Mytilus edulis: one gene and its partner. Each later gene encodes a partner of the first gene's protein in a complex. Links are inferred from orthologs where the notes say so. Each region holds a gene or a part of one and is shown in the gene's direction. Other genes may lie near its edges.

Region 1 (7,622 bases):
AGAGTACAACTGATCAATATAGTGGACATTGAAGGTGTCTGGACCATTTGTTGTACTAATAACAAATATAAGTTAAATTTATTAACGTGATGATTACTTCTCATTAAAATTACAGGTAGATGACTATAGGTAAAAAGCGCATATGTCCGGTCAAATTAATACAGGTGAATCAAAATTAAAAGCACAAATGTCCATAGTATTGGAAGCGCAAATGTCCTATCGTTTTACAGGTAAAAGAGCGCAAACGTCCTGTGCCCATATAACTACACCCATTGCCCAAATGTCACTATGGAAAACAAATAGGCTAGGCAGTTATAGCAGTTTAAACAATACATGTTGACATTTCATATATATATACACCCATTGCCCAAATGTCACTCTGGAAAACAAATAGACATGGTAGCTATAGTGGTTTAAACAAGGTAAAGCAGTACTTGTTGGCTGTTTCTTTATTTATCTGTTTCTGATCCATTACTGATATAAGAGACATTTACGTAATTTGTGTACGATTATTTTTCTTTATACTTCCACTAACCATGCTTTTGATAAAGATTATTTAAAGGAAGAAGAAAATTATTCTACTGTTTAAGATTTAATATTTTTCATGTGCTGGTTTTGAATGTTTTTTTTCTCACAAATATGGCATCATGTTAACTAGATTTTAATGTCATTCTAAAACACAAAACCTTACCTTTGAATCGTAAGGTTTACAAGCAAATATTTCTGGTGACATATAGTAAGGACTTCCACAAAATGTAACAGCTTTAGCATTAGGTCTTTCTAAGACTCTGTGAAGAAACAAAGTATGTAATTAGATAGAATAAAGATTTTCACAAAATGTAACAGTTTTAGCATTAGGTCTTTCTATATAAATGGATGATATTGGCGTATCTACTATACCGACCGTGCAAGGGCTGTATAGCCAGTCAAGGTCGTTAAAAACTTCCATTTGTTGTTATCTACTATATATTGCTGCTGCAATCAATAAATCTTCCTGAACATGCATGAAATATTTGCAACTGGACATTTATCAACCAAGAATCAATAAACCAATCATCTTACCAAAAAGTGCATTGAAGTCATCAAATGTTGTCTTCTCTTTGGTTTAAGTTGTTACCTTGTTTATAATGATATAGATGTGCTTGACCCTATCAAACTCAACTAAGTTTATGTTTGACTTTTTTTCTTAAATTTGTTTATAATTGAGGTATGTGGAATTGAAAATGCCATTTCTTTTTTATTGTTTTTAATTACCTTCCAGAGTATTCGTGATGTATCATTATCATGCAGCTATCATCATTTCATTTTCATTGCATTACACAGCACAATATATTTTTTAAAATATAAACTTGTCATATGTATATAACATTAAACAACATACTTTGCTAATCCTAAATCGCCTAACTTTGCAGTTTTCTTTGGCCCTGTCAGGAAAACATTCTGTGTCTTTATATCTCTATGTAAACAATTTCTAGCATGTAGATACTGAAATACAAACAACACCAAAATTTCGTGATTTGTTGCAAATTTGTCATAAACTTGTGTTGAACATTATATGTGCATTTTGACCATTTTTTCTGGTGAAAGCATTACAAAAAATGTTTTAGATTGTCAAAGAGAAGGTAAGACGGTATTAAAAACTGGTTTAATCCCAGCATATATGACATGGGTGTACCAAGTCAGCTATCATGGATCAAGTGCTGTTTATCTCTGTTTGTACAAATAAACAAAAAAGGTACATAGGATAATGTGGATTCATTATAAATTGTTGGACACCCATGGGATTCATAGGTACAGGTGAACCACCAATTCAAATGTTCAAGAAAAACAAATTTTTTACAGGCTTTGAAAATTGATACAGACAAAAATAAATGAATCCACAATATACATTAATGTATGGTAAAAACTATCAATCAATGTGGCAATTATATACAAAAATAATTTGTCCATAGTACACGGATGCCCCACTCGCACTATAATTTTCCATGTTCAGTGGATCGTGAAATTGGGGTCAAAACTTTAATTTGGAATTAAAATTAGAAAGATCATATCATAGGGAACATGTGTACTAAGTTTCAAGTAGTTGCGACTTTAACTTCATCAAAAACTACCTTGACCAAAAACTTTAACCTGAAGTTGGACGAATGAACGGACGAACGAACAGAGGCATAGACTAGAAAACATAATGCCCCTCTACTATCGTAGGTGGGGCATAAAAATAATGAGATTTGTTATGATTGGCAATGAGACAACAACCCATCACTGGCCATCAGTTACAAAAGAATGAGTATCTGCTTGTATTTTTTATATTTATTTTATTATGATTCACTGTTTCTTTTTGCAACTAGAAAATTTGAACCAAAATTTCAAACACATTCTCCTTGAAGAAGTCAATGCTTACCTGTAAGCCACTACATATCTGTCTGAACCAATTTACAATTTGATCTTCATTAAATGGCCTTCCACTTCGTTTTTCAATGTATTCTGACAAATCTCCTCCGTCACAAAATTCAGTAACTATACACAAAGCACCCTTTTCTTGGAATGAATCTATATAAGCTATGATATTATCATGTTTAAAATCTGACAACAATCTAGCCTCTCTTTCAGCAGCTTCTCTCTCCTCTTGAGGGGACTTACTCAAATCAATTACTTTCATAGCATACTGAAATGTAAAAAAAGAAGTTTTATTACGTATGTAGGAACCACAACATCATTCTTTCTGTCAGAGGTCTTGATACTAAGGGTAGAGGTTTCACATAAATGAGGTTGTGCAATCATACATCAAACCGTACTACTCAAAATCTAACCCTCGAAAAGTTTACACCTGGGCGGGCAAGAGCCGACCGGTATGACCTGAATAAAGATATAAATTTACTGACAACACAAATAAGGAATGATATCCAAAACAATCAAAATGTCAAGGAAGCTTGGTTGACATTTAAGAAACACCTATTTGCCAGCCTTAACAAAAACATATCATCTAAAAAAGTCAAGTCAAACAACAGACTGCCATGGATAAACCACAAAATGGAGAAAGGTAAGCAGATCCTACTCCACATGTGGCACCCTAAAATGGAAGGAACAATAAACAAACGCATGTAAAAAAGCCACTTCCATGCTAGGCTTCCTTAAGAGAAACCTACAACACTGCCCTAGGGAATGCTGTAAAACAGCATATATAGCACTCGTGAGATCCATTATGGAGTACAGATCAACTTTTTGGGACCAATATAACTAGAAAGACATCGACAAATTAGAATCCATAAAAAAAGAGGGGCTAGATTTATCACCAAAGACTACAAATCAAGGGATGAAGGATGTATGACAAAAATGCTATCAGAACTTCAGCTTCTGTCGCTACAGTCAAGATGACAAAAAAACGACTGATATTCTTCTTTAAAGTGGTTGAGGGGAAGATACCAGCGCTTCCACCTGACGATCTTATAATATTCCATAGACCCAAACGACAAATAAGAGCGACAACATATAACAATTTTGTAACTAAGAACATTATAGACCAACAATTCCGTAGCAACAAAGGTGCAGTCATAGTTCCTAAAAGTAAAACCAACCGGTTCAAAAACTCCATATTTGAGCGCACTGCAGTAGATTGGAACCATCTGGAGGACTCGCCAGGAGTTTAAATCAGTACTCCTCAGCAAGCGCGACTAATTTACACACAGACCAACCCGTCACACAATAGCCAAAAGGAATCTGTGACGTATCCATCCATATTACAGAAGTAGGAAATACAGATACAGAGTGCTGCACTACCTAAAAACCATGACTTTATTCTGACACAATCATATTAGGGGGGGTAGAAGGGGTCCTGATCCCGAAATCCTGGGCTTAAAAACACAAAGTCCCGAGATCCTGGGCTTAAAAACACATAATCCTGAGGTCCCGAAATTCGAAAAAAAGAATTCCAGGATCCCGAAAAGGGTCAATCCTGTAATCCTGAGCTTAAAAACACCCGATCCTGGAGTCCCGATAAAGGTCCTATCCCCCCTCATCATATCAGTTGTCACCACTCTCCAAATTCACTACAGGTCAATGGTAAAATTCCTTCTCCTGTTCTTTTGTAGATGAATACCATATAGAGAATAACATGTAAGCCAACATTGGACATTTCATCATAATGTCCAGTATGTCTACTTTCACTTTTGTTCCCAGAGCATTTGTGTGTGAAAAAGAAAGTAGGTAGACAACTTGAAATATAACTACTGAAACTACAACCTGTTAAACAAATTATCTAATTAGAATACAAGAAAAATATGTAAAATAATGTACCTTTCGTGTTTTATCTGTTTTGTCACAACATAAAAATACTTTCCCAAAAGCCCCTTCTCCAAGAGTCTTTTCCAGCTCAAACTCTATCGGACTTGCCGCTGCGGCCATTCTAATAACTTTAGTTTACAATGACTAAGAATTATAACATCTACATCTGAATTGCAGCCCTCTGGATATTGTTAGATTTACTGTCAAAATTAAACAAACGAAACTCTAATACAGATTTTATGGGTCACTGAATTTTACTTCTGGGTTCACGAGAAAAAAGAGTTGTCTCCCATTCGGCACATCCAGCCAGATGGGAGACAACTCTATAAATTTCATTTGTAAATCGAAATGCTGTCATTGACTTTAAAAGAGGTTAATTTTGAGTTTAAGAATGCTGTGTCATCGACCACATTAAATTTCAAATATAATAAAACATAACAACTCAACAACTCAACACACTCACTTGCTAGAATTACAATGTACCTAAAAATATTGAGACAAAACAAAACAAATCAAAGATACTGTAAAATATGTGAAATCTCAGCTATAATTTGTTTACATAAACTTAATCAATATATGACACTAGGTTAAGCAATTGCAAAGAAAAGATAAGATAAGAACATTTATTTTAAGTCCAGTTACATGAAATACATGTACGGTTCAATCCGGTGCTTGTGACTTCACTTTCATGCAACTGATAAAACCAATAATTGAATAATATTGTGTGAACAATATAATAACATACTTTTATTTCATAAAATCTTCTGTTTTAATGGTTTCATCCTCTAGATTTTTATACGACCGCAAAATTTGAAAAAATTTTCGTCGTATATTGCTATCACGTTGGCGTCGTCGTCGTCGTCCGAATACTTTTAGTTTTCGCACTCTAACTTTAGTAAAAGTGAATGGAAATCTATGAAATTTAAACACAAGGTTTATGACAACAAAAGGAAGGTTGGTATTGATTTTGGGAGTTTTGGTCCCAACATTTTAGGAATTAGGGGCCAAAAAGGGCCCAAATAAGCATTTTCTTGGTTTTCGCACTATAACTTTAGTTTAAGTTAATAGAAATCTATGAAATTTTGACACAAGGTTTATGACCACAAAAGAACGGTTGGGATTGATTTTGGGAGTTTTGGTTTCAACAGATTAGGAATTAGGGGCCAAAAAAGGGCCCAAATAAGCATTATTCTTGGTTTTCGCACAATAACTTTAGTTTAAGTAAATAGAAATCAATGAAATTTAAACACAATGTTAATGACTACAAAAGGAAGGTTGGTATTGATTTTGGGAGTTTAGGTCCCAACAGTTTAGGAATTAGGGGCCAAAAAGGGACCCAAATAAGCATTTTTCTTGGTTTTCGCACCATAACATTAGTATAAGTAAATAGAAATCTATGAAATTTAAACACAAGGTTTATGACCATAAAAGGAAGGTTGGTATTGATTTTGGGAGTTTTGGTCCCAACAGAATAAGGGGCCCAAAGGGTCCAAAATTAAACTTTGTTTGATTTCATCAAAATTGAATAATTGGGGTTCTTTGATATGCCGAATCTAACTGTCATGACTGTGTATGTAGATTCTTAACTTTTGGTCCCGTTTTCAAATTGGTCTACATTAAGGTCCAAAGGGTCCAAAATTAAACTTAGTTTGATTTTGACAAAAAATGAATCAGTTAGGTTCTTTGATATGCTGAATCTAAAAATGTACTTTGATTCTTGATTATTGGCCCAGTTTTCAAGTTGGTCCAAATCGGGGTCCAAAATTAAACTTTGTTTGATTTCATCAAAAATTGAATAAATGGGGTTCTTTGATATACCAAATCTAACTGTGTATGTAGATTCTTCATTTTTGGTCCTGTTTTCAAATTGGTCTACACTAAAGTCCAAAGGGTCCAAAATTAAACTTAGTCTGATTTTAACAAAAATTGAAATCTTGGGGTTTTTTGATATGCTGAATCCAAAAATGTACTTAGATTTTTTATTATGGGCCCAGTTTTCAAGTTGGTCCAAATCAGGATCTAAAATTATTATATTAAGTATTGTGCAATAGCAAGTCTTTTCAATTGCACAGTATTGCGCAATGGCAAGAAATATCTAATTGCACAATATTGTGAAATAGCAAATTTTTTTTTAATTAGAGTTATCTTTCTTTGTCCAGAATAGTAAGCAAGAAATATGTAATTGCAAAATATTGTGCAATAGCAAGATTTTTTTTTAATTAGAGTTATCTTTCTTTGTCCAGAATCAACTTAAATCTTTGTTATATACAATATACAATGTATATTCACTTTTTACTACCAACTGATAAATTAAAATAATCTTTACCATTCAGTGATAACAAGCAGTTTTTTTACATCTTATTTCCTTATCTTATCTAAAATGTTTTTAGATAATGTATGTTGGACATTTGCCAGACATGACTATGATGTCATTTTCTATATTTATTTGCCAATAACTTTATGTAAATAACTTCATTGGAAATTTGCCAATATAAAATGTTGCTGATGAAGTTTTTTTTATTGTTTTATACAATAAACAATGTATATTCACTTTTACTACCAACCAATCTTTACCATTCAGTGATAACAAGCACTTTATTTTACATTTTAATATTTTATGATGTATTTAAAAGAGTAGTTATTGTTGCAAACTCCATTAGAAATTTGAATGGATATCAGTTTTGGAAAAAGGGAAACGGGGATGTGAAAAAAGGGGGGGGGGGGGGTAAATTTTTCTCATTTCAGATTTCATAAATAAAAAGAAAATTTCTTCAAACATTTTTTTGAGAGGATTAATATTCAACAGCATAGTGAATTGCTAAAAGGCAAAAACAAACTTTTAAGTTCATTAGACCACATTCATTCTGTGTCAACTATTTAATTTTAGATTTAAAAAGTTTGAAGAAGAAATCTTTAATTGTAAAATTTGTAAAATCTTGACATTTGTTTTGTGTAAAAAAAATCCATGTAATGTCAAAAATTTGATCACAATCCAAATTCAGAGCTGTATCACGCTAGAATGTTTTGTCCATACTTGCCCCAACTGTTCAGGGTTCGACCTCTGCGGTCGTATAAAGCTGCGCCCTGCGGAGCACCTGGTTTGTAATGTGTGTCTAAAATAAGGGAAACCCCTGTTCAGAGAGTTCCTCCAATGTCTGGTGATTGCGTGCATGCCTTAAAAAAAAGCTTATTTTAAATAAAGGAAAGATTTTATACTACGAAATATAGCTAAGTTTGAACCAAATACACTACCAAGGATGCAGAGCAAAAAATTATTTTAATCTTATATAAGTTTGACTTAAAGAAATAAAATTTTATCCCATAATGAATTTTTTTTTTAT
Region 2 (7,871 bases), on another chromosome or scaffold:
AAATTTTGAAAGTTTGGACATGATTTTAATATATTTTGCATCATTTCCTCTCTTTTTAATAAATGAGTGTCACATTTAAATAAAAAATGAACTTCATCCTCAACCTCACCTGAGGTGCACCTGAGACAAATTCGGTTTTGTCGAAGAGTACCCTGGTATCTACCAGATTCAATTTGCAATTTGTGAGCAGATATTCTTAATCTAGTAATACATTTCCTTTGCTCAAAATGTCGAATTATTGACAAATAATTTTCAAAACCATAGTTGCACTTGAATGTTACATAAGTTCGTAGTTTACCATCTTTATGTTTGTCTAGCTGTTTTTTCCACAATGCAGTATAGTATCCCTTAACTATCTGACCACAGTGTAGTTTAAATGTTGAGTATTTTTCAAGAATATGTTTTTCTATGCCCGACATTTTTTCCCTTAAAATATTAATTGATCCATACCAAGAGGGTTTTTTTGTTTCAAATAGCTTTTTAGAACAATTATATGCAGCTTTTAACAAGGGAAATGATGAGCCAATATTTTCTAAACGATGCCAATATCCTAAAACATGTTTGACTATTATATCATAGTGAAGTGGAAAACGGCCTAATTCAGACAAAACTGCAAAGTTTGTACTCTTTCTATTAACGCCTAAAATATATTTGCAGAATTTAATATGAAGTTTTTCACAAAGTATCCTTGAGTAAATTGTATCCACTGTTATGTTTTCTTTTTTTAAACGTGCAGTAAAGGGATTGAAATATCCCCAAATTTCACACCCATATAAAAGTATAGGCTTTATTGTATGGTCAAAAACATGAATTGCATTTTTAACAGTAGGATTATGCACTAAAAAATCATTACATAGTTTGAAGTATGCTTTTAAGGCTCTTTGGTATAAATCATTCTGAGCATATGAAAAAGAACATGATGCATTAAATTGGATACCCAAATATTTATAATTAGATACACACTCCAGCTCATCTTTGTTGAAAATAAATTTTTGAGAGATATGTCTGCCTGCCTTGTTGAATATCAACACCTTAGTTTTTTTAGTATTTATATCTAAGCACCAGTCATTGCAAAAATTATGAAGTTCATTTAATTTCTCTTGTAGTCCTTCAGCTGAGTTAGATAAAATTACAATGTCATCAGCATACATAAGGCAATGAATGAGTTTGCCATCCATCATAGTGAAGTGGAAAACGGCCCAAAATGACACAGAAATTTTAAAACAACTTATGATGACTGCCTGTTCATATGAGGGTCTTCCCAATCATACTCCCTTTATTTTATCCAGGGGAAATACACAGGTGACAGGTGTACCTCTTGTTTTAATAAAATTGTTTAACTTCCAAAATATGTTTTTCATAACAATTGACCGATTGCTGTCTCAATTCCAGTGATAAATATTTCATGCATTTTCCGTGAGGACTAGTAGAACATTTTAACAAGTAAGGAACCTTTATTACATTTGTAAGCAAGCAAGCTTAGATTTATTTTTAGAAACTTACTTTGTGATCCGACAGTGGCGGATCCAGGGGGGGGGGGGGGGGGGGGGGGGTTCCGGGGGTGCGCACCCCCCCCCCTATATTTTTGCCGATCAATGCATTTGTATCGGGACATATGTTTTGCACCCCCCCCCCCCCTTTTGCCCTGGGTGCCCTGGGTTAGCACCCCCCCTTTCGAAAATTCTGCACAAGTTGTAGACTGTTCTTAGGAACCATGATCTTATCCCTTTACATGGTGACCTCAACATCAAAATAATAAATAGCACTTTTATACTATCTAGACATTTAGTCTATGCCATTCAGTTGTGGATTCCGAAATTTTCATAAGTGGGGGCCCATTGACTGCCTAATAAGGGGCCAGCTAAGGTCATGCTTCAATGATTCCCTATATAACCAATCAAATTTTTCACAGAAAGGGGGGATAGGGCCTTAATCCGCCTCTGCTATTTTCATCACTTTTAAACAAGTAAATTTATGCATCTGCAGGTATCAAGTTAAACAACCATTTTTCATAGGTGAGTAAAAATACACCTAAACACTGAGACTATCCCTCCTTTCTACACTTCTTAAGGAAACAGCAACAAAGGTCTTGCTTCAATAATATTCAGATTAATGATTTCAGTGGACAAGAACAAGTAAGAAATAAATGTTTGTGAATGAGCGGAAATTTAGAAATTTATCTACTTGATCACGACAGAATGATATGTAATTAACACATATGGTCCAAGGACACAGTTATTGTCCTTTGGTTTTCGTTGTCTAATATAGTCCTTAGTTTATAAGTGTATAACTTGCATTTTTTTGGTTTTACACTTTCCCAATTTATTTCTTGATATTTAATGCATGAAAGATTAAGTAAGGGGATGAAATTACATGTTAAACAAGAATGTGTCCAAAGTACATGGATGCCCCACTCGCACTATCATTTTCCATGTTCAATGGACCGTGAAAATGGGTAAAAAATATAATTAGGCATTAAAATTAGAAAGATCATATCATAGGGAACATTTGTACTAAGTTTCAAGTTGATTGGACTTCAACTTCATCAAAAACTACCTTGACCAAAAACTTTAACCTGAAACTCGCACTTTCATTTTCTATGTTCAGTGGACCGTGAAATAGGGGTCAAAAGTTTAATTTGTCTTTAAAATTAGAAAGATCATATCATAAGGAACATATGTACTAAGTTTCAAGTTGATTGGACTTCAGCTTCATCAAAAACTACCTTGACCAAAAACTTTAACCTGAAGCGGGACAGACGGACGAACGAACGGACAGACGGACGGACGAACGGCCGCACAGACCAGAAAACATAATGCCCCTCTACTATCGTAGGTGGGGCATAAAAAAATGTGGGTGCTGAATCATTAAGTAGTGATTTGGTCCAGTTAAAAAATTAGAACATCTGAAGCTGTCAAAACTGAATTTAAGTCCCCCTTAACACAGAATTGTCAATATTTTGAGTTAGAGCTGTTAGAAGTTTCTATAATTTTGATATTATTTGTCCCAATGTACACATCACTGTAAAAATCTTTTTGAGAGAGCAGGTGCCATTTTTTTATTTGAATTTATTGTCTAAAAAAAATGCACTACGAAATAACTGTGTTCTTGGGCCATATGTAGTGGTTGTTTGACAGGGTTCAAATATTGAGTTTCCTGGTTTGATAAATTTTTCTTTCAGCGTAATCAGAAACTTTTTTATCACATGTTTTTTAAACTCCTCATTCATAATGTTTAGTATGTACATGAATTGTATTGCTCAATGCTCTTATGATAATTTACACAAGAAAGAATTTCATTCCTGATCACTTTCAAAACCGCTAAAACATCAACCCTTTCCCCACCATTGAAAAAAATAACAATACTGTAAAAATGGTTTGCATGGTTTTGTTTTTTTATAAAAATTTAATAAAAATATTTAAAAAACAAATCATAAAAGTCATGTAAGTTCACTAGCAGTCATTGGTCATTCACACTGATAAAAAAGTCAATAGATTTCCTTCAGCTGCATTATTTCACTGTTCTTGTAATGTTGTGAGCATTGGTAAGTGGACAGCAGAAAATGTTTAAGTTTTCTTTTCCTCTCTGTCTGTTCCTAACACATCTTTTTCAATTTCTCCCAAATCAAGTTTCTTCTCCAGTATTGCTTTCTGAAATTACATAAACTTAATTGTGTTAATTTGGGGATATTTATAATCTTCATTATTATCATGATTATTGGTCTAGTCTATTCTTTATACATTTGTGTAATGTTTATGGACCTATATAACAATAGACATTTTTAAAACCCACATCTATATACTTGTAATTCCTTAGAACTAGTTATTGAAAATTCTCTGTTTTGTGTTCCATATTTTCTCTGTATCTATCTGATGAGTTAACCCTTTTTCAACTGATTTTACATAGTTTGTTGTTTTGTTGTGCTGTTACATAACATGTACATCACTGTTTTCTCAATTGAATTGTTTCATAATATTATGTCCGGGCCTTTTAAAGCAGACTTAACTTAAAGGATATGGGTTTTTCTCATTGTTGAGGGCCATACTTTACCTATAATTGCTTTCATCCACTTTCATTTTTTGTTGGACAGTTTTCTCATTAGCAATCATACAGTTTCTCATTATTTTATTATTATTTTGCCCCCCCCCCCTTTTTTTAAACCCTGAAACCCACTTTATTAGTCCCAAATACTTAATAGTTGGCATATTCCAGCTATTATCAATAATATCATGAAACAAAACAGTATAATAATGTTAGCAGATTAGCAGTAGGATGACACCATAACAACCAGTGGCAAATATTTCATGTATTATGATGATCTTGTCTTGGATTAAAGCAGAATGGATCAAATTATTGGTACTTTTGAATCCTAATTGTTCGACTTTCTTTTTCATTGTCTCTTGAAAGAAATCATATTACAGTATGAGAATGATGTAATTTTATGCAGTATTTACAAATTAAAAGTTCTTTAGACTTTACGTTCTATGTTCATTTTACCTTCACACAAGTTTGATAAACACCAAACAATGCTTTACATGGATCATTTGTGTTCCCCTTTAAAAATTGTTCTGCAAACCATTTGTTAAAACAACTGTCATAAGCAACTTTTAGTTCTTGGCATTCTTCGCCAATGCTGTTCATTTTTTTTTAACAGGAAGTGTAAATAGGTAGTAAGGGAAATAATCCAAAACAAACATGCTGTTGACAAAACTCACTTGCAGACTGTGTTTTCAAAGAGTTTCACGAAACAAGAACTGCTTTTGTAGCAAGGTGTGGATTGTAATGCAGTCATTTGATCCTTTTCTATTCTAATTCTTAATTTGAACTTGTAATAAGTAGTAAAATAACAAAATCAAGATGGTTAATGTAAAATGTTCACAAAGGTTAAAATCTAGTACGTTATTTATTTTAGGGCACAATGCATAATTCATTTCATGGTTTGATAGAATGATAACAAACATGGCAGGAAGAATAAACAGATAATATAATAATATAGACACAAAACAAACATTAAATAAAAAAAAATCATCAATGAAGATAGCATGATTCAACCCAGGGACTTTCTATATACATATACTAATTCTTATAGGAAGTCCCTGTTCAACCAGAGACATGTAAAATTGAGAATGGAAATGGGAAATGTGTCAAAGAGACAACACACCAACCATAGAGCAGACAACAGCCGAAGGACCCCTAAACTGATCTGATTCTACATACACAAGTATTTACTTTGCTCCACTGGGACTAAAATTTGGCCCTCTGTGCGACAAGGCAGTGTTCTAACCAACTGAGCTAAAGAAGTAATTCCTTAGCTTAACTACTTACTACTGACTAAGTATCTCCTACCAATACTATAAAGGGAAGCAGTCATGTCACACTTCTCCCACCTCAAGAGTCATCATTCATACCATTATTAAGACAATAGACAATATTTTATTGGCACAAACTCTTTTACAATAAATGGTACAATGAAAATCTATTGCAATAGATTACTTCTTGCATTTAACATGTTTACAATTTGTTACGAAAGAGGAAGATAATTTCAGTGCCGTATAAGATGTATTATTAAGTTTAAGATTTATTTTATTTTTATCGCACAATGTGGTTATATTTTTTCCTGTAATTTTGAACATTTTTAATACAAAAGTCTCTCTAATACTAGAGTAACCTCTGCAGTGTAGCAGCATGTGCTGTTCATTTTCAATTTCGCCACTTTTACAGATTTCACAAATTCTTTAATCCCATAACACATACCCCATCTAAAAATCCTCTCAAACCACCATGGGTTTTTTGGGGATGCCAAATGTAATCTGAGATCATGACTTTCATTAAAAAAATATTATAAGGCAAATTTAAACAGTGTTAATATAAAGTATAACTAAGGTTTTTGAATAAATCTTTACATGATGGATGCATGCTGTAGTAATGTCAGTCTGACGTGTCACCATTCCATATCAAGATCAACAATGCGCCCACTTGAGGGCAAGCAAGCAAGGGTTTGTCTGAATAATCAATTTTGTTCTAATTCTTCAACAATTTTTCAAATAAATCTTTTCTTTCTGTTACTAAATTATTTTCAGCTCTGCCTGCTAAAACATGAAATAGTGAATAGCTCCTAAAAAGAAGTTTTTTTTTATGTGTTCAAATTATCACTTAATGTAAATGATACACATGATACATATAACTACAAAAATTGTAACTCTGAATTGCAGTCAACCTTATTTTCTCTCACCTGAAATGAATATTTATGAAGTTATATAAACTATAATTTTGGAATAGTTGCAAAAGTTTGGAAAAAACTTTTTGTAAAACTTATACTCCTTGCAAATTATTGTTGTTACCATTTCCATTCTTTAATATTTAAAAATGTTAACCTTCATATTTCACCAGGGGCTATTATTCATTTACAGGTCCCAAAGACACCAATATGGGAAGAGGTGGACCACACAAGAATTCCCAATGTTCCACAAATAGACCAAGAGATGATAAACCATTTAGAGAGGGTTTCCTTGGTTGAGTTTAATAATCAGGCTGGAATTGAGAGACTGTCTAAAGCTATAGAATCAGCTAATAAATTACATATGGTTAACACAGATGGAATTGAACCCATGGAATCTGTATTAGAAGACAGGTAAATCTTAGAATGAGCTAGAATGGGCCCAGGCCCCCCCTTTCGTGTGAAAAATTTGGTTGATTATATAGGGAATCATTGAAGCATGATTGGAGTGCCAGAATAGTTCAGAAGGAACAATTATGAGCAGAAGCTCTTAAGATCTGAGTGTCAAAAGACTAAAGAACTTAGGAAATATTACCGTATATGGTGATTCATAAAAAAAAAATTTGTATTAAACTACCGTCTTCCAAAATTATAGTCATAAATATTCACTAAAATTGGGACCTTTATATAATCATGATAATTATTGCTTTTAGTGGTTGATAATACACAATGTAATTCATATCAATTTTGTTTTTAACATTATTTTGAAATATGCTCAAGTATAAGCATAAAATTAGTAATAAGTTATCTTGTGTCTTGTAATTTTTATTACAATTTTCTTGTCAGGTATCTATTTTAGAACTAATGGTTACCATATTGGATGGGTCATCAACCATAATTCTAAAAAGATATCATAAATGTACATGTTTCTCTTGATACTTAATATGATTGACAGAGACTTTTTAAAAGTTTATGTTGAATAAACATGTATATATAAAGTCAGTATACATACTGTTTAAATAATGACATGACACTTTGCCTTTTACTGCAATTTGCACCAATTTTACATTACAAACCTAGTATGCCTCGTTGCTACATACATAATTTATTCATATGAAAAGGTAGACACTTCCTGTGTAACTTTTGACCACACATGTACAAAAATATACATGAAAATACATATTTATACATTTTCTGTGGTTTTTGTGGCTACATTTTTTATTAATTTTTAATTACACTTCTGGTATTCTTTTCCTTTACATCTGTGCCTTCTGTGGTTATTTTTTTACTGACTGTCAAATTTAATGAGATGTGATCATCACATTATGTTCAGTGTCTTTTTAACTCACTCACGGATTACCAAATATTGTGACAAGTTATATCCGTGCTGACTGGAGCTGTGAATGTCACGAAGGCACGCACCAACGGTGACCAAACATTCATCTTTTGGGACAGGCTGCTTTAAAAATTAATTGTTCTGATTCCATTTTTCTTGAAAATGTAATTTCTTTTTTCTTTCAAAAAGGAATAGAAAATATTTCCTTCCATTGAAAATAAGGTCCCCAAGTAAGGTTTGTCAAGAAAGAAACACATCCCACAAGAGATAAATAATCGGTGCTTTATAAGATAAAGATAAAGATATTTTAATACCTAA

Evidence for each region.
Region 2: glutamyl-tRNA(Gln) amidotransferase subunit A, mitochondrial-like (region 1) and glutamyl-tRNA(Gln) amidotransferase subunit C, mitochondrial-like share a complex: the UniProt entries of both Homo sapiens proteins name them as parts of the heterotrimeric GatCAB amidotransferase (AdT) complex. The link is inferred for Mytilus edulis from reciprocal best matches to the Homo sapiens genes QRSL1 and GATC.

The regions. Positions count from the first base shown.
Region 1 is NC_092344.1:890,295-897,916, forward strand, and holds the start of glutamyl-tRNA(Gln) amidotransferase subunit A, mitochondrial-like, read left to right. Parts: upstream 1-4,551; 5' UTR 4,552-4,629; coding exon 4,630-4,653; intron 4,654-7,622. Other genes in the region: serine/threonine-protein kinase Nek5-like, read right to left, coding at 692-788, 1,382-1,485, 2,402-2,665, 4,294-4,401. UniProt on the Homo sapiens protein: Allows the formation of correctly charged Gln-tRNA(Gln) through the transamidation of misacylated Glu-tRNA(Gln) in the mitochondria. The reaction takes place in the presence of glutamine and ATP through an activated gamma-phospho-Glu-tRNA(Gln).
Region 2 is NC_092349.1:62,496,101-62,503,971, reverse strand, and holds the start of glutamyl-tRNA(Gln) amidotransferase subunit C, mitochondrial-like, read left to right. Parts: upstream 1-4,659; 5' UTR 4,660-4,695; coding exon 4,696-4,770; intron 4,771-6,410; coding exon 6,411-6,631; intron 6,632-7,229; exon of another isoform or gene 7,230-7,565; intron 7,566-7,871. UniProt on the Homo sapiens protein: Allows the formation of correctly charged Gln-tRNA(Gln) through the transamidation of misacylated Glu-tRNA(Gln) in the mitochondria. The reaction takes place in the presence of glutamine and ATP through an activated gamma-phospho-Glu-tRNA(Gln).